Arabidopsis thaliana: one gene and its partner. The main gene of each other region encodes a partner of the protein of the gene in region 2 in a complex. Each region holds a gene or a part of one and is shown on either strand. Other genes may lie near its edges.

The links.
Region 1: APK2A (region 2) and ZAR1 share a complex: the UniProt entries of both Arabidopsis thaliana proteins name them as parts of the stable high-order oligomeric complex.

What each region holds. Positions count from the first base shown.
Region 1 is NC_003074.8:18,933,502-18,941,483, forward strand, and holds ZAR1 (HOPZ-ACTIVATED RESISTANCE 1), read left to right. Parts: upstream 1-2,172; 5' UTR 2,173-2,386; exon of another isoform or gene 2,387-2,614; 5' UTR 2,615-2,625; coding exon 2,626-5,184; 3' UTR 5,185-5,298; downstream 5,299-7,982. Other genes in the region: AT3G50940 (P-loop containing nucleoside triphosphate hydrolases superfamily protein), read left to right, coding at 585-1,571, 1,659-2,027; PLP3a (thioredoxin domain PLP3A-like protein), read right to left, coding at 5,390-5,499, 5,585-5,682, 5,769-5,830, 5,922-5,994, 6,081-6,223, 6,309-6,356, 6,431-6,505, 6,642-6,725; LTI30 (dehydrin family protein), read left to right, coding at 7,324-7,905.
Region 2 is NC_003070.9:4,909,082-4,920,132, forward strand, and holds APK2A (protein kinase 2A), read left to right. Parts: upstream 1-6,409; 5' UTR 6,410-6,777; coding exon 6,778-6,844; exon of another isoform or gene 6,845-7,113; coding exon 7,114-7,460; intron 7,461-7,554; coding exon 7,555-7,690; intron 7,691-7,791; coding exon 7,792-7,928; intron 7,929-8,014; coding exon 8,015-8,138; intron 8,139-8,408; coding exon 8,409-8,878; 3' UTR 8,879-9,057; downstream 9,058-11,051. Other genes in the region: FLP (Duplicated homeodomain-like superfamily protein), read left to right, coding at 76-131, 228-395, 491-785, 881-1,023, 1,103-1,370, 1,456-1,566; UTR3 (UDP-galactose transporter 3), read right to left, coding at 2,281-2,686, 2,784-2,905, 2,998-3,101, 3,187-3,217, 3,332-3,462, 3,558-3,655, 3,845-3,948; IQD28 (IQ-domain 28), read right to left, coding at 9,198-9,229, 9,326-10,694, 10,834-10,914, 11,004-11,051.

The DNA of each region.
Region 1 (7,982 bases), on a different chromosome or scaffold from region 2:
CATGTCATTCTAACATTAAAACTACTATTACAATTTTCAAGTATAAAAGACAAGTCAGCATATATGTTAAGGAGCAAAGACTTTGCATTTTTGCAGCGAGCCAGCGACCAGACTCTAGAAGTCTGTAGGGGCTATCAAGTTTTCATTTTTAACGATACTTTATCAAATGGGCCGTAATCTTGGCCCACTATAGACCATTCATTTAGTGTTCCATCACCATTTAAATAGTAATCTTTCATTCCCTAATTATCTCAATCTTATGATCAGAGGTATTCGTGAAAATTTATTATTGATCGCAGAAGCCTTTCATCAAATAAAAGAGAAGAACTGGTATCAAATTTTCTCCTTAACCTTAACATTTTTTTTTTTTTACTTGTTAAGATTCCAATTTGTGTGCTCATCGTAAAATTATCAAAAGAATAGCATCGTTTGTTTAACCTAATCAGATTTATCCCCACGTAACCTAGTAACAAATACAGTACTATTGTTCTATAATCAGATTTTTTTTTGGATTAGTTTCTTGTCTCTTTGATTTATGAGAACCGACTTGAATGTATTTATTTTATTTTTGATGATTGAAGGAGATGAGTTCCTCTAGTGAATCTCATCTAGCCACCGCCAAAACAGCTCTCACAGCGGTTGCATCAGTTGCTGCAGCCGCAATACTAGCTCGATCAGTGGTTCAAGATTACATGCCAAACGAGGTTCATGAATATATCTCTCACGGCTTTCGCAGATTCTTCAGCTACTTCTCTTATCAGATGACAGCTGTAATAGAAGAATTTGGAGGTTTTGAACACAACCAAGTGTTTGAAGCTGCAGAGGCTTATCTCTCCACCAAGATATCTAATTCCACTAGAAGAATCAAAGTTAACAAACTTGAGAAACAGAGCAATTATAGTGTTACTGTTGAACGTGATGAGGAAGTTGTTGATATTTTTGATGGCGTCAAGCTTAGTTGGATCCTTGTATGTCGCCATGTCGATAAAAAGGATTTTCGTAACCCGAGAGATCTCAACTCCACTTTGAAATCAGAAGTGCGTAGTTACGAGCTTAGTTTCCGAAAGAAGTTCAAGAACATGGTTCTTGAATCTTATTTACCGTTTGTTGTGGAACAAGCTGCTTCTATTAAACAAAAGTTTAAAACATTGAAGATCTTCACCGTTGATTCTTACTCCGTGGAGTGGACCTCTGTGACTCTAGATCATCCTTCCACGTTTCGCACTCTCGCTCTGGATCCCGAGGTGAAGAAAAACTTGGTGGAGGATCTTGATCGATTCGTGCAGCGGAAAGGCTTTTACGGGAGAGTTGGAAAAGCTTGGAAGAGAGGTTATTTGTTGTATGGTCCTCCCGGTACTGGAAAATCAAGCTTGATCGCAGCTATAGCTAATCATCTTAACTTCGATATCTATGACTTAGACTTGACATCACTTAACAACAATGCTGAGCTACGGAGGTTACTTATGTCTACTGCAAATCGTTCCATTCTAGTTGTGGAAGATATAGATTGTTCAATCGAGTTAAAAGATCGGTCTACTGATCAAGAAAACAACGATCCGTTACATAAAACGGTGATGCATTTTGATTCACTATCAGTTATGTTGTTATGTGATCTTTTGCTTATTAGCATTACTAATGTTTTGGTTAGTCATTTTCAGGTCACACTCTCTGGTCTATTGAATTTTGTAGACGGACTATGGTCAAGTTGTGGTAACGAGCGGATTATAGTGTTTACGACTAACTACAGAGAAAAATTGGATCCAGCATTGTTGAGGCCAGGACGTATGGACATGCACATTCACATGTCGTATTGCACACCAGCTGCTTTTAAGGTTTTGGCTTCGAATTATCTCGAGATTCAAGATCATATACTTTTCGAGCAGATTGAAGAATTTATCCGAGAAATTGAAGTTACACCAGCAGAAGTAGCTGAACAACTGATGAGGAGTGACTCTGTGGATAAAGTACTCCAAGGACTTGTTGAGTTCTTAAAAGCCAAGAAGCAAATAGATAATTCAAAAGCTTAGAAGAAATTTAGTTCTTTTATTTGTTTCTTTGTTAAACACTATCATGCAATTATTGGTTATAAAATGTTACAGAAAGTGAAATCATTTTTTTTTTTCCTAAGTGAAATGCGGATATTGTTTTATGAGGTCAGAACATGTCTAAACTCAATGATAAGATTCTAAAGTAGATTGAGACAAGTTTCGTAGTCGGCAGCAGTAACCAAGAAAACGAGTAAGGTTGACTCTTGACTTGTTAAACCATTGACTTCAATTTCGATAAAGTCTCTATGTAAGCTCATTTTTCTGAAACAAGTTTTGCTAAAAAAATCCAAAGATCTGAAGCTTCAGATCCTTCTCGGCTAAGGCTAAGTCACAACCTTGTAAGTTTACTTTACTTTGGTTAGATTTGTTTCAATGTTCTAGGATTCTACATGTTTCTTGAGAAGATATGGATTAGTTAAAGAATAATCCAATCTTTTGGTTATTGAGATTCTATAGTCGTTGGTTGATTGATTTTTGGAAAGTTCAATCTAGTGATGATACACATAACCGATTGAATTATTGCTTGGTTATAGTTTACCAATTAGAGATATTTCTTGAAGTTGCAGGGTCTGAGTAAATGGTGGACGCTGTTGTAACAGTGTTTTTAGAGAAAACCTTGAACATCCTCGAAGAAAAAGGCCGAACCGTATCGGACTACCGAAAACAGTTGGAAGATTTGCAAAGCGAATTGAAATATATGCAGTCTTTTCTCAAGGATGCAGAGAGGCAGAAGAGAACTAATGAAACGTTGCGTACTCTTGTTGCGGATTTACGAGAACTGGTTTACGAAGCTGAGGATATACTTGTGGATTGTCAGCTCGCGGATGGTGATGATGGGAACGAGCAAAGGTCATCAAATGCGTGGCTTTCGCGGCTTCATCCTGCCCGGGTTCCGTTGCAGTACAAGAAAAGCAAACGTTTGCAAGAGATCAATGAGAGGATAACGAAAATAAAGAGTCAAGTAGAGCCTTATTTCGAATTCATAACGCCGAGTAATGTTGGAAGAGATAATGGAACTGATCGGTGGAGCTCTCCGGTGTATGATCATACTCAGGTGGTTGGTTTGGAAGGAGATAAAAGAAAAATCAAGGAGTGGCTCTTTCGATCAAACGACAGCCAGCTTTTGATAATGGCCTTTGTTGGGATGGGAGGGCTAGGTAAAACTACAATCGCTCAAGAAGTGTTCAATGACAAAGAGATCGAACATCGTTTCGAAAGAAGGATATGGGTGTCTGTGTCCCAGACTTTTACTGAAGAACAGATCATGAGAAGCATATTGAGGAACTTGGGGGACGCGAGTGTTGGAGATGATATTGGAACATTGCTGAGAAAAATCCAGCAGTATCTTTTGGGGAAAAGGTACTTGATAGTTATGGACGATGTATGGGACAAGAATTTGAGCTGGTGGGACAAGATCTACCAAGGACTGCCTAGAGGACAAGGAGGTAGCGTTATCGTGACCACAAGGTCGGAATCTGTAGCGAAAAGGGTGCAAGCGAGAGACGACAAGACTCACCGTCCAGAGCTCCTTAGTCCTGATAACAGTTGGCTGCTGTTTTGTAATGTGGCATTTGCAGCAAATGACGGTACTTGTGAGCGTCCCGAGCTAGAGGATGTTGGCAAGGAGATTGTAACGAAATGCAAAGGTTTGCCTTTGACAATCAAAGCGGTTGGTGGGTTACTTCTGTGCAAAGACCATGTCTATCATGAATGGAGACGAATTGCAGAGCATTTTCAGGATGAGCTAAGAGGAAACACTTCTGAAACTGACAATGTTATGTCTTCTCTGCAGTTGAGCTACGATGAACTCCCTTCCCACCTTAAGTCGTGCATTCTCACGCTTTCGCTCTATCCAGAAGACTGTGTTATACCAAAACAACAACTAGTACATGGATGGATCGGAGAAGGTTTTGTCATGTGGAGAAACGGAAGATCTGCAACTGAATCTGGAGAAGACTGCTTTTCCGGGCTCACAAACAGGTGTCTAATAGAAGTTGTAGACAAAACCTATAGCGGAACCATCATCACTTGCAAGATTCATGACATGGTTCGTGATTTGGTGATCGATATAGCCAAGAAGGATTCGTTCTCTAACCCGGAAGGCCTCAACTGTCGTCACCTTGGGATTAGTGGAAACTTTGATGAGAAGCAGATCAAAGTTAACCATAAGCTGAGAGGCGTAGTGTCAACAACTAAGACAGGTGAAGTGAACAAGCTCAACTCAGACTTAGCTAAGAAATTCACAGACTGCAAATATCTTCGGGTTCTCGATATCTCGAAATCCATATTTGATGCTCCTCTGTCTGAGATTTTGGATGAGATTGCAAGCCTTCAACACTTAGCATGTCTTAGTTTGAGCAACACACATCCGTTGATCCAGTTTCCTCGTTCCATGGAAGATCTCCACAACCTTCAGATTCTAGACGCAAGCTACTGTCAGAATCTGAAACAACTTCAACCTTGCATCGTCTTGTTCAAGAAACTCCTTGTACTTGACATGACGAACTGTGGATCCCTTGAATGCTTCCCCAAGGGTATCGGAAGTCTCGTGAAGCTCGAAGTTCTGTTGGGATTTAAGCCAGCCAGGTCCAACAATGGGTGCAAGCTCAGTGAAGTGAAAAATCTCACAAACCTTCGGAAACTTGGTCTTTCTCTGACTCGTGGCGATCAGATAGAAGAGGAGGAGCTTGATTCTTTGATAAACCTAAGCAAGCTGATGTCCATTTCGATCAACTGCTATGATAGCTACGGCGATGATCTCATAACCAAAATAGACGCCCTTACTCCTCCACACCAGCTCCATGAGCTTTCTCTACAATTCTATCCTGGAAAGTCGAGTCCATCGTGGTTGAGTCCTCACAAGCTTCCGATGTTGAGGTACATGTCAATATGTTCAGGTAATTTGGTGAAAATGCAGGAACCATTCTGGGGAAACGAGAATACTCACTGGAGAATTGAAGGTTTAATGTTAAGTTCATTGTCGGACCTAGACATGGACTGGGAAGTGCTGCAACAGTCAATGCCGTACCTGAGGACCGTGACCGCAAACTGGTGTCCAGAGCTAGAGTCTTTCGCGATTGAAGATGTTGGCTTTAGAGGCGGAGTGTGGATGAAAACACCATTGCACAGAACCTGATGAAACGTTTTAAGCAACTAGATCAATGTTTATTAAACAGTGACAATAAGTTGGTGTATTACATATACCTTGATACAATGTAATGTTGCTTTGACCGTTTGGATTTCATATCGCAATTTTCTTTTCTAATAATCATATAACAAACGAGCAAAAAGGGAAAACAGAGACTAGCAGCAATGGCAGATCTTTGATGTCAACTGCTTGATCAGTCAGAATCAGAGTCCAGATTCTCTGAAGACCTAACAGACCTCCGTATGCTCTCTTGATATTCGGCGTCTTCATCATCTTCCTCTTTCTTCTTCTTGCTGAGCATTCCTGTTAAAGATTTGCACTCTTTAAGCAAAAATTCTCTAACTGGGCCGTTATAATAAAAAAAAGGTGGGACCGAGGTTCTTCATACCCTTTTTAAGAAGAACGTTCTCTAGTTTATTCGTTGTGAAATCGTCCTTGGTTCCCAGATCCTGGAACCCAACTAGCCTATCCATCGCAACTCCCTTGCTAAGAATGGTAAAGAAACTCGTACTTTATGAGTATACACCTAACAACAAACCCTGTATGTAAGAAGGAATAGAAAGAGGCGAAACCTGAAAAGCACAACGCAAGGCAAAGTCTTTATTGCAAGCTTCGTGACAAAGAAAGGAGCATTCTGCATTTATTTCAGCCAAGCATTAGCTTCAGCAAAGGATTGTTGAAAAGCCATTTCCTCTTATAAAACTTTCATCAAATGGTTCACTAACCTCTGCGTCCACTTTAATGAACTTTGTGTCCACATGTCTAGGTGCAAGAGTTTTCAGATGCTTGTCCATAATCCTACAGTAATGCAGTAAATATGTTTGGTTATGAGCTCATATACATATCAGAAGACGAACAAAAAATAAGCTGATGAGAGATCTTACTTGCACCGGTAAAATTCCTTATGGTAGAAATGACATATCACTTTCTCACTCCTGGTGACTTCACCCAAGAAATCTCCTTCACTCACCTCTCGATATTCACCATGCCCTTGTCTTTTAAACGATTCTCTCTTCTCAACCTCTCTCTGTCAAGATAAAATCTTGAAGATTTTAGTTCATACCAAAAGCTGCATAACTATATAGGCCACAATACAATGCCAAAGTTATAACCTTTAGTGCTGCAATCCTATCTGCGTGCAATCTTTCTAGCTCTGGATCCTACAGAACATAGACAAATAAGTCTACCATAGAGACCTACGCTTAACAGTCACAACAAGCAACATTGCACTTACATCCATAAGTTCATCAAGATCAACCTCTTCATTAACAGGATTTGATCCTTGCGCCTTCTCATTTGCAAGAACTTCCTACAAAACCCATATAAAGAACTCATCAAAACCATACAAGTAAGTCCTCACAGGTAATCTACTCAGACAAAGAAACATCAAAAAAACTCATAAAGTCTATCACTATTTCAAAAACAAATTGAGAAACATTCTTTACCTTTTGATAATTTCTTGCAGCAGCCGCCATTACATTTCCAAATGCTAGATTCGAGAGAGTCGATTTGACTGCATCTGGATCCATCTTTTAACACCAAAAATCTGAAACAACAGCATGAAAAAAGCATTAGGATTCAGAGATAAATGAGAGCTAAAGCTTCAAAATCATACCTTTTTCAATTCCTTCCTGATGCGAAGAAGAAAAATAAAAAAACACAGCTTGAGAAATCGAAATCAAAGCTTTTTTCCTTTCTTTACTAACAATTTCAAAAAATCAAAAGATGAACAACAAAGGTGGAAGAAACATACCAAACGACATCGTTTTTTAGTTTAGTAAAAGATATGCATTATTGGGCCTTTCATATCTAAAGGCCCACAGGCCCATATAAGTTAAAATTACGTCGGTCGCTAACCACTACTACACCGACGTCTTACTTGCCATGTGTGTGTGACTCTTAATCAATTACGAATTGAATATATTACTTTTACGATGTCGGCCAACACGTATTGAGTAAAATATCTATGTGATGATGAATTCCTATCCAAAATGAAATTTGCATCTCTATAAAAGTATCATTCAAGAGATCATTAATCTTCATCGATCAAAGTCTTGAATATTTCATCTATATATACCTAAGAAAGAAAAGAGTTAAAGAAGTATATTTTCGATTCAAAGAAGAAAAATGAATTCTCACCAGAATCAAACCGGAGTGCAAAAGAAGGGAATAACGGAGAAAATCATGGAGAAGCTACCAGGTCATCATGGACCTACTAACACTGGTGTTGTTCACCACGAGAAGAAAGGGATGACGGAGAAAGTTATGGAGCAGCTGCCAGGTCATCATGGTGCTACTGGTACCGGTGGTGTTCACCACGAGAAGAAAGGAATGACGGAAAAAGTTATGGAGCAGCTGCCAGGTCATCATGGATCACACCAAACTGGAACCAACACAACTTATGGTACTACTAACACTGGTGGTGTTCACCACGAGAAAAAAAGTGTGACCGAAAAAGTTATGGAGAAACTACCAGGTCATCATGGGTCACATCAAACTGGGACTAACACGGCTTATGGTACTAACACTAATGTCGTTCACCATGAGAAAAAAGGTATAGCAGAAAAGATTAAAGAGCAACTGCCAGGTCATCATGGAACTCACAAAACTGGAACCACCACAAGTTATGGTAATACTGGCGTTGTTCACCATGAAAATAAAAGTACGATGGATAAGATTAAAGAGAAGCTTCCCGGTGGTCATCACTAGATTGATTAACAACTTGTTTAAGCTTATTTTAAGTATTTGTGTGGTGTAATAATATGATGATGTGGCTTTCTTTCATT
Region 2 (11,051 bases):
GGATAAGATTTTTAAGTTTGGTGTTTGTGGTTTATGTCTGATCTTTAATGGACTTTTGTGTGATTGGTTTCTCAGGCACAAAGAGTATTTGGTAATAGATGGACTGAGATAGCAAAGGTGGTTTCAGGCAGGTATAGCTCAAGCTCAAACTCTAAAGGTGTAGGTGAAGTCATCATTATAAGACCAGAGTGGTTAAACTAATGTTCTGTTCGTTATGTGTTTTGTAGAACTGATAATGCTGTGAAGAACAGGTTTACAACACTTTGTAAGAAGAGAGCCAAGCATGAAGCTATGACTAAAGACAGCAACTCAAACACCAAAAGAATGTTGTTCTTAGACGGTATCAGTACACCGCGAAAATCCGAGAATGAAACTCCTATTGCTAAGAAATTGAAGTAAGTTTTGTTTCTTTTTTGATCAAATAAACTTAAGTTTCCTGAGTGTGTTCACTTTTCACAAATTTCATGGGGGTTTGTTGGTTATTATACAGGAGAAGTCACATTCTAGATCTCACAGAGATCAGTAACTATGGAAGGGCCGAGGCATGTGTGAATCAGCAGATAAGGTCTCCATTTTCGGTTTTAGCTCGAAATGCCACTGGTATTGATAGCTTGGAAGAACAGAATCAAACAAGCAATGTGAATGAGAGTGATGGTGAAGGGATGTTTCTTAAGAAGGATGATCCAAAAGTGACAGCTTTGATGCAACAAGCTGAACTTTTAAGCTCCTTGGCGCAGAAAGTTAATGCAGACAACACAGAACAGAGTATGGAGAATGCTTGGAAGGTAAACCAAAAAACAACAAACTTCGCAGCATATCAAAATAGCGAAAAGTTTCAAGCTTACTAATAACATACCTCTTGTTGTATGCATATATACAGGTTCTTCAGGACTTCTTGAATAAAGGCAAGGAGAATGATTTATTCAGATATGGAATACCTGATATAGATTTTAAGATCGAGGAATTTAAGGACCTTATAGAGGATTTGAGGAGTGGTTATGAAGACAATCAATTATCTTGGAGGTAGCTTTTCATCACCACAAAAATTTTGTGTTCATCTTAAGGTTTTGATTGTATAACCATTTCATTTGATGTTCTTTAGGCAACCTGATCTTCATGACTCACCAGCTAGCTCTGAGTATAGTTCCGGATCAACCATCATGGTGGATCAGTCTGGTGATAAAACACAACCATTCTCAGCAGATACTCAGACAGAACATAAGCAAGTTGGAGAGGAGTTGCTCGTCCCGAAAAATCCTGATGAGAATATGCCCATCTCAGGCGAAGAAAAGTTCAGCTCGCCTATTCAGGTCACGCCATTGTTCAGATCTTTGGCAGACGGTATACCAAGTCCACAGTTCTCCGAAAGTGTAAGCTTCGCACCTTCTTTGTTCATCATACAATACTTAGGCTTTGAAAAAACAATGAGTCTTAAAAGACTGATTGCTTTTGTAGGAGAGGAGCTTCCTGCTAAAAACACTAGGGATCGAGTCCTCATCTCCATGTCCAAGTGCTAATCCTTCAAAACCACCCCCTTGCAAAAGAGTCCTTCTCCATAGCTTGTAAACCAACCAACCATCTCTCTCATACCCTAAACCGCGGTTTAGTCTCCATGGAGACGTAATTTTTTCCACTTTTGCTTAGATTTCATATTAGGTTTTGCAGCCATATCGGCCTGGAAGTTTTTGTGAAGCGGGCATGCCATGATCTGCATTCCTCCCTCAAGGTTTTTAAGTTTCTTTCCTGGTCCTAGAATGTTAACGGTAACATTTTCTAGCCCCATCAAAGAATGTTCTCAAGAATCTGCCATATACTCAGATTCAGATTTCTCTTTCTTTTCTTACTTAACATAAGGAAGCCATCTACAAAAGAAGGCACCAGTGTGTCTTTAAGAAAAAATTCTTTGGTTTGTCTCTAAGGGCTTTACTCAGATACATCATCTGAGCATTTTCCCCAGATTTCTTGATTTGTTTTCATCATCTCTGTACAGAATCTCTATCACATATATATAAAGAAGTTTTCCAGAGTGTAACTTTAGGAAAAATGAAAAACTCAGAAGGAAGAGTTTGTTGTATTGTTAAGACAAATATATATGAGTGGAAATATATGATTTGTCTTTTGGTTTGATATATATAAGTTTCTTCTAATGCATTAGTTTACATTTTGCTAATGGACTAAGCTTTCTTCTCTCTAACTTTCAGACATATTTGGAAGTAAAAAGTTTCCAAATCAAAAACAATTTTCTTGAAGAATTAAATATTTTGATCCCCAATCTCAGCTTCAGGCCTTTTTCTTCTTCTGCATTCTCTGCAGCTTCCTCCATTTCAGGTAAATTTGGTAAGACAATCCACCGAACACCATCGACACACATCCCCATTGTTTGGAAGATAACGGATTCCCGCTCAAAACTGAAGATACCACGATGCTTACAAACTTCCTGGTTGTGGTTATGGTCGTGTTAGCTAGAGACCCGAATCTGCTTATTGTCAAGAAGATGAAGTTTTGGCCTACTGCACCGCATAAACAGTACATAAGAATGTCCCATGCTGCCTCAGGGTGTTGCTTGCAGAACTGCACAGCTTCAAATCCGCTCCCATGTGGCAATCCAAACATGTAGACCATGTTGTATATGGTTCCCCATAAATTCATTCCCAGCATTATGTCCCATGCGTTAGTTTTGGGGTACCTGTATCCATGTATGGCGATGATTAATGTCCAACATCTAGACCATGTTGTAGATGTCAGACTGGGTTAAGTATCTGACAGAATGTCAAGAGTCATACCTTGCGGTAATGGAATCCTGGGTTGCGTTTGTGAATCCATCAAAGGCAAGGTTTAAGAAGCAAAGCCCGTAACCAAGGGGTGCATTGGGATGTGCTAGCTTGCTGATGGTTTTAGAGCTTGTCTGTAAACCAAGTCAAAGACGGTTTACTACATTTCCACAGACAAAGTATAACAAAGATTATGATCAAAGTTCCTGAATGCAGATTTGCCTACCTTAAGAAGGGCAAACATAGATACTCCTCCGGCAACAAGAAAGGTGCAAAGATACTCAGGCAAAGTGTATCTTATGCCATAAACTAAGGAGCCCATCAGCATAACTACATGAAAGAAAAAACATATATAAGATACACATAGCAGCAGTTGAGAGCGATTATGGATTGATGCTCTAAATTGACACCTCACCTGGAATCATTTTGGAAGATTTTGCAAGGACCTGCAAGAAGCAAGTTTTGCATCAATATTACTTCCCAAGAAAGGTTATTACCTCAACTATCAACCATAATCAAGAAAAATGAGGTTTTTATTACACTAACAATGCCTAATTTACCTGAGCTGGGTAACTAATATACTTTAAAGCTTCAATGCCCATAGCAGGACCAATGGTATTAGTAATGCCAGCACTCCAATACGTCCACCATGGGGCTCCACCAGAACCTCCGTTGGACCAGAGCTTAATCACTGCTCATAATCAATCAAAAATACTTCAGTTCCATTTATTCGTCTGTTATAAACTTATAATTCTAAGGAATAAACAATGAAGATGCCCTACTCACTTATATAAGACCAAACCAAGCAGATTACATTCTGAGCCAAATTCAGAAATGCAAGATGCTCGAATCTCTTCCCATCTTCACCAAATTTCTTCGTCGACCTAATTCGAAAATGTTAGAGTTCTATCAGCTACATTTCTATAAATTTCCAATAATTGCAAACGCATCACCAACCAGGATTCCGAGAATAGAAACAATCTCGAACAAACAGAATCGAGCAATGTCGAGAGAAAATAATCAACGAGCTAAAATAAGATTGATCGATTTCGACCCTAACGAGTTTTACTTACAAGGTCTCTTGAAGAATGCCTTGGTATATGTAAGCTGCCCAGATCCCAGCGACACAGAACGACAATAACAGAACTCGCCGGAGACCGGAACCGTGAGATTCCATCGCCGCACGTCGCTTATTGTTTTATCCGACGGAGCTCCGGCGAAAATTTGAATTTCAATTTTACGCTATTTGATCAGTTTTGCGATCAAATTATGAGATCGGTCTGAAGTGGAAACGAAAGTTATTAGAGAGAGTGTAGGAGGCGCGAGAAAGACGTAGATTTTCCACGTGTAACTGTGTCATTGGCTTAATAATCTGACATGACACTTCTGATTGGCTATAGGACGTGGATTTATTTCTGGAATCCAAGTCATATGCACATTCATGTCTGAGATAGGAATGGGAACTATGTGCCGTTTTATTGTCATGAAAACGTCACGCAGTTTCCTAGAACTTGTAAACGGATGTTCTTTTTACAGCTTGGGCCTTAATTTGATTAAGCAAACTTGCACACAGCTAATCATGTCAGTTTGACTAACTGATGAATTCATACAAATCTAAGATCACTTGTGGTAAGAAAATGAAAGAAAAAGGCGTATATACACAAATGGAGGAAAGTTGCCAACATGATTTAATTGATTAAAATTTAGTGATGACCCATTGTTAAGATTACTAAAACAAAATATGATATATCTTAAAGTAAATGTGACAATAACGTCAACATAGCGAGAAAAGTTTGAAATATCGAATTTCCATTATATTAAAACAAGGTATCACATGCATGCACTCATGCATAGTTCATTATGATTTGAGTAATTTTCTATACGAATAATATTATACTATATCTCAATGAAAATAGAAGTTATATATATTGGGAAACGGAATTTATATGACATACTTAATCCTCATGGGAGAACCAATTATACATTTTGAAGAGTCAAAAGTCAAAACTCAAAAGAGTGACTCTTACCGGATACAAAATGAAAATAGAAGTCTTGGTGAGATAACAAATTAATGTGTAACATAACAATATAATATCATAAAAGATTCCAAATGGGGCTTTTGTCCACACGTGATATGCAATATGCAAAAGAAAAAAGAACTCTCTTTCGATCTGCCGGTCAATAACAATGTGAATATAGATTAACTGATTAATAAGTAGTTTCTTGGGTCAATGCATGGGATATTATATTTAAGAAATACACCAAAAATGTATTCGACGTTAGCCACCACGTTCCATTAAAAATTCAAATCTAAATGATGATTACCGTCGTCTACATCTATGATTACAAATTTTTTGTCTACTATGCGTTTAGTTATTTACCATGGTTTGACGATTATATATATAACACACATAAATTATGACGGTTTAACGTTGTCTCTTAACTCAAAACTTAATTTTACAAAAATATTATTTAAGAGTTGAATCTCATACTTTAATTATTCATTTGGTCAACTAGAATGCGAAAAATCCACAATACTTCGTAACTAATTTCGGGTCCTTTAAATCTTGATCACCTGTTGATCAACAAAAGATCTACACATAAAGATTGATTCATCCATTGACTAAACTTTTATTTATCGAAGAAAGACTATATATATCTAATGCATGCATGCCATATGCACAATAATCTAATAGTAAATCCAATACGTCTCAGAAAGATAAAATCGTCCATAATACCAAATTTTATTCTAAGGTTTTGATATCTCTCATAATTTGGAAGTGTATGTAAAAGTTTCTTAAACATAAATATAACATCCAAAGAAAAGTTGTAAACACTTAACATCTTGATTGAAGGGGAATCTCGCTAATAATTGTGACTGAACGATAGTAAGTATTATTGTAAAATATCGATCAAAATTTCAACGATATGGGCGATCCAGACCCACCACTTTGTTGTCCCTTAGCAGACGTCAACCATGACCATAATTAGTTAAAAAAAACACCAAACAAAAACCACAACTTCCTTTTAATTCTTTTTAAATTCTAAATTTCAGACTAACAAAAAGTATTCATAAGCTGTTTCATGTATGAATTTAATATCATGAATACTAATAACTTGAGCCATTAACTTTAACCAAAAAAAAAAACTTGAACAATCTAATATAATTCCCTGTAACATTTAAAAGATGGAGATGGGAAAACAAGAATTCTAAAGAAACATTGTAAAAATGAAACAGAGACAAATATTTTCAAGCAAGTCTTGTTTCATTTCATTTCTGTTTGAAAAATGACAAGTTTAAAGTCATGTCTCATATGTGTAATATTATTAACTTTAAAATATAACAAAATAAATATCTTTGATTACTTTTTGAAATGTTTTTTATCTCAAGAATTTGGAAATTTTCGTTGATTGATACATTATAAAATCTGAAAATTAGATGTGAAACACGACTTTTTGTCCACCACCAATCCTCCTAGAAATTATCAGTTTATCACTCGATTACTGAATGAATGAATGAGTTATCTCTGAAAAGTTGTCGTACCATTTATTATCCCACGCGGATTTACTGCCGTGAGCATGACGTTACCGTATCTATCTCAAATTACTAAAATTGTCCTTTCCGATGGCCGTCTAAAGGAACTAACTCGAGGGCATTTTGTCATTTTGAGAAATTGTTATGAGTTTGAGTACAAAACAAAAGGACACGACGACTTTGTATTATTTGCTTCAAATCCTCTGTTCTTCACCTTCCTTGTTCCTTCTTCTCTCCTTCTTTTTTATATAGATTTTCCTTTCATGTTGTAATACTTTTATTCTATTAGCGTTCATATTCAGCTAAACAGACATTGCGCCGCCGTTAAGTCGAAAGGATAGAAAGAAATTAAAGAAAGAAGAAGCTTGTTGTCTTTGCTTCTTGAGGCTCTCTTCTTGTCTTGATCATCTGTTACGTTGTTCCACGAAAAGAACAGTAGCTTTGTCTCTCCATATAGGGTTATTATCTGAAATGGGTAATTGTTTAGATTCATCAGCTAAAGTGGATAATAGCAACCATAGCCCACATGCTAATTCTGGTAACTATTTCCTCTCAAGTCTTTATTGCTTAATTGGGTTCTATGTTACAGTTTCTTGGATATTTCTTCTTATTCTCAAAATGGGTTTTTCGAATAAGTAATTTGTCCATCTCTGGATCATCAAAAGTCAAACTCTTTTGAATTGCTCTGTTTAGTACATGTGTTTGATCCATGTTTGTATCTGTATTGATGTTCTTAGCATCATGAGTTTGATTGAAAACACACCAAACTAAAGAGATTTTACTATGTTTGAATGATCATTTTAATAGCTTCTTCGGGCTCTAAAGTTTCAAGCAAGACAAGCCGTTCAACGGGTCCTTCAGGACTAAGCACAACTTCTTACAGCACAGATAGTAGTTTTGGGCCATTACCAACACTTAGGACAGAAGGAGAGATACTTTCATCGCCTAACCTAAAAGCTTTCACTTTCAACGAACTCAAGAACGCGACTAAGAACTTTCGTCAAGATAATCTACTAGGGGAAGGAGGTTTCGGTTGTGTATTCAAAGGATGGATTGATCAAACATCTCTCACTGCTTCACGTCCCGGTTCTGGAATCGTTGTTGCTGTTAAGCAGCTTAAGCCTGAAGGTTTTCAAGGTCATAAAGAGTGGTTGGTAAGTTCGGTTTCTCGCCCTTTTTCGGTTCACCGTGATTAATGAGTGTGTGTTTGCTGACATTTTGAGATATTGTTTTTTTTTTTTTTTTCAGACTGAAGTAAACTATCTTGGTCAACTTAGTCACCCAAATCTTGTATTACTAGTTGGGTATTGCGCGGAAGGCGAAAACCGGCTTCTTGTATATGAATTCATGCCAAAAGGAAGCTTGGAGAATCATCTTTTTAGACGTATGTTTTCAGCAACTCAACAATCTTGAATTCAAGAAGAATCTTACATGTTTCTTTGTTTTTCAGTTTTCTTATAATCATCCGGTCAATGTTACTTGCAGGTGGGGCGCAGCCACTTACATGGGCAATAAGGATGAAAGTGGCGGTAGGTGCAGCTAAAGGGCTAACTTTTCTTCATGAAGCAAAGTCACAAGTGATATACAGAGACTTTAAAGCTGCTAACATTCTACTCGACGCTGTAATAAACCCGAGCATATACTCTCTATAACCACTTTCGGGATTTGCTTCTGATTCCTAACTGTTTGAAACTGTGTCTAAATGCAGGACTTCAATGCTAAGCTTTCAGATTTCGGATTGGCAAAAGCAGGTCCTACTGGTGATAATACACATGTGTCAACAAAGGTCATTGGTACTCATGGATATGCAGCTCCTGAATATGTTGCCACAGGTTTGTTCTAAACTTACATACGCGGTAATAAACTAGACAATACCACGAGCCCATCTATGGTCTCAATAAGGTTTTATCAGTTTCTGTGTAAGACAACTTCACAAGCTTTTTCCAAGAATGTTTCAAAACCTTTGACTTATTAATCTCGAAACGCTTTATCTTTCTCCAAGAACTCGTCAAGAGCTTTGACATTAACCAAAAATCTTTGACCTTTAGATTGTTTTTGTTTTCTCTAAGAACTCATCTAAACCTCATCTTCATCCACTGCAGGTAGATTAACCGCAAAGAGTGATGTGTACAGCTTCGGGGTCGTGCTACTAGAACTAATATCAGGACGGCGTGCCATGGACAATTCGAATGGAGGAAACGAGTATAGTCTTGTAGATTGGGCAACACCGTACCTTGGCGATAAGCGAAAGCTTTTTCGCATAATGGACACGAAACTAGGGGGTCAATATCCACAAAAGGGAGCTTTCACAGCTGCTAATCTTGCATTGCAATGCTTAAATCCCGATGCAAAACTCCGGCCAAAAATGTCAGAGGTTTTAGTCACATTAGAACAGCTAGAATCCGTTGCTAAACCTGGAACCAAACACACCCAAATGGAATCTCCAAGATTTCATCATTCTTCTGTTATGCAGAAATCTCCGGTAAGATATAGTCATGATCGGCCTCTGCTGCACATGACTCCTGGTGCATCGCCTTTACCTTCTTACACTCAATCTCCTCGTGTAAGATGAAACACATTTAAGAAAACAGATCGTGCTTTATGCTTGTATGTGTACTATATGTAAAAATGCAGGCTTGTCTGTGTAATTAGAGAGGAGTGATTGCAAAGGTTTATACAGAGATTAACTATTTACTTCAACTATTTTGTGTCTTCAAACATATCAGAGTAAATTGAAGCAAGATATGAAAATGATGTAATAGACTAGACATGAACACTGACCAAACACTCTCTAAACTCACCAAACCAAACCAAAATGCAGAGGAAACACACTAAGTAATTGAATTCGACCATGTAAGATGAGTAGATGACACTCTCTTTTGCCTGAGCCTTCACCGTTTCCAGTCGGTTCTGGTTGACTTGTCTGAAACAATCAAGAAAGATATGGGTTAAAAGGTTATTTATCTGAGTAAAGCTTCAATACTTTTATAAGAATTCTGTAAATTTGAGTCTTGCTTACGAGTTATGTCCTTGGAAGAAGTAAAAGATTTGTCGCCGTTCATAGATCCTTTGGCAGAGGCTAAGAGAAGTTTTTGAGCCCTTGGAGACATAGTAGTAGTACTCAGCTTACCATTGGCTGGAGAAGGCAGTGAATGGCGCCGTAATGCCCCATTTATCTCAGTCTTCGCTTGGGCAAACCTCGGAGAGGCTTCTCCTTTGACTCTGGCCTTTGCAGATGCAGTCGGGGCCATGTAGCTGGGGATTTTCCGTCCGCTAAGGGTAAGCCCATCATCTTGTTTGTCAATATTTGCAGGCAGCAATGCTCGTTTTTCACTTTGCTTTGTGTTATCAGAACCAACATTACCATTCTCAGAGCTTACCTTCACATCTGCACATTTAAGGGCTTCGGCTTTGTCACTGGTCTCTGCAGTTTTCAGTTCATCTTCCTCCGTCCTATCCAAAACTGGTGACTTCTCATCTTTTACAATATCAAATTCGATGGGAACTGCATCAGCTTTATCTTTCTCTTTTTCACCAAATTCAATATTGTCTCCTCCTTCAAGAACCTTTCCTTCAGACTCTATCTGCACAGAATCTCCAGTATCTTTTTCTTTTCCAGAAGACTCGATATTGTCTCCTTCTTCAAGAACCTTCCTTTCAGGCTCTATCTGCACAGGATCTGCAGTATCTTTCTCCTTTTCAGTAAACACAATATTTTCTCCTTCTCCTCCTTCAAGAACATTCCCTGAAACCTTCCCTTCAGACTCTATCTGCACAGAATCTGTAGTATCTTTCTCCTTTTCAGCAAACTCAATATTGTCTCCTCCTTCAAGAACATTCTCTGAAACTTTCCCTTCAGGCTGTATTTGCACAGAAGAATCTGGAATATCTTTCTTCTTCTTCTCAGCAGATCTAAGGGTGGCTTTCTTTGACCCGTTCGAAAGAGAAGACCTTTTGAGACTAGGACTGGGCTTCTCATCTTTAATCTCCAAAGGCGACCCCTCCTTTGAGCCGCTTCTACTTTTTCTCGAATTGTGATTTGCTTTGTCACTCTCATTTCTCAGGGGATCTTTACTAAGCGTGGAAGCCTTCCTCACATTTCGTTTAGGTTTATTTCTTTCAGCTGTAAAACGGCTAGGGCCAGTTCCACTAGTTGTGCCAGATGGTTTCTTGATACTTCGCTTTGGCCTTTTCTTTTCTGCTTCAACCACTGCTTGGTAGTTTCGCTTCTTTGACTGAGATTTTGGAATCTCAATCCTAGGTACTCGTGAACCAGAAGACCAAACTTGTAATTGTGTCCAGCGTTCAAGCCAAACCTTGGCTGAGTTAGGTTCCTCAGGACCATACTGGATCTTCAGAGGCAATGCAGTTGGTGAAGAAGCTAGAAGCTGAAAAGCCAGAGAAATAATAAGTTACAAACCAGAAAAGCCAATGTTGTGTTGCAAGATTGGTAAATCCGGGTTTACTGAGCAGGAGTTATGGAAATTATTATTCCACCAAGAACCATGAAACATAAGTTAAAGATACCTTATCAACAAAGACGAACTTTGTGGGATTATCCATCCAACTACACGTGCTCGATTGCAAAACTTCTGAATCACTTGCTTCCTAATAGAAGAAAGAAAATTGCAGCTTGATTATAACAAGCCTACAAAATCAGCCAACTATGTAATGAAGGCGTGATAAAGAGTCTCTACCATATGTTTTTTCTGAAACTGAATCGCAATATCTGAAGATCTAGCTTT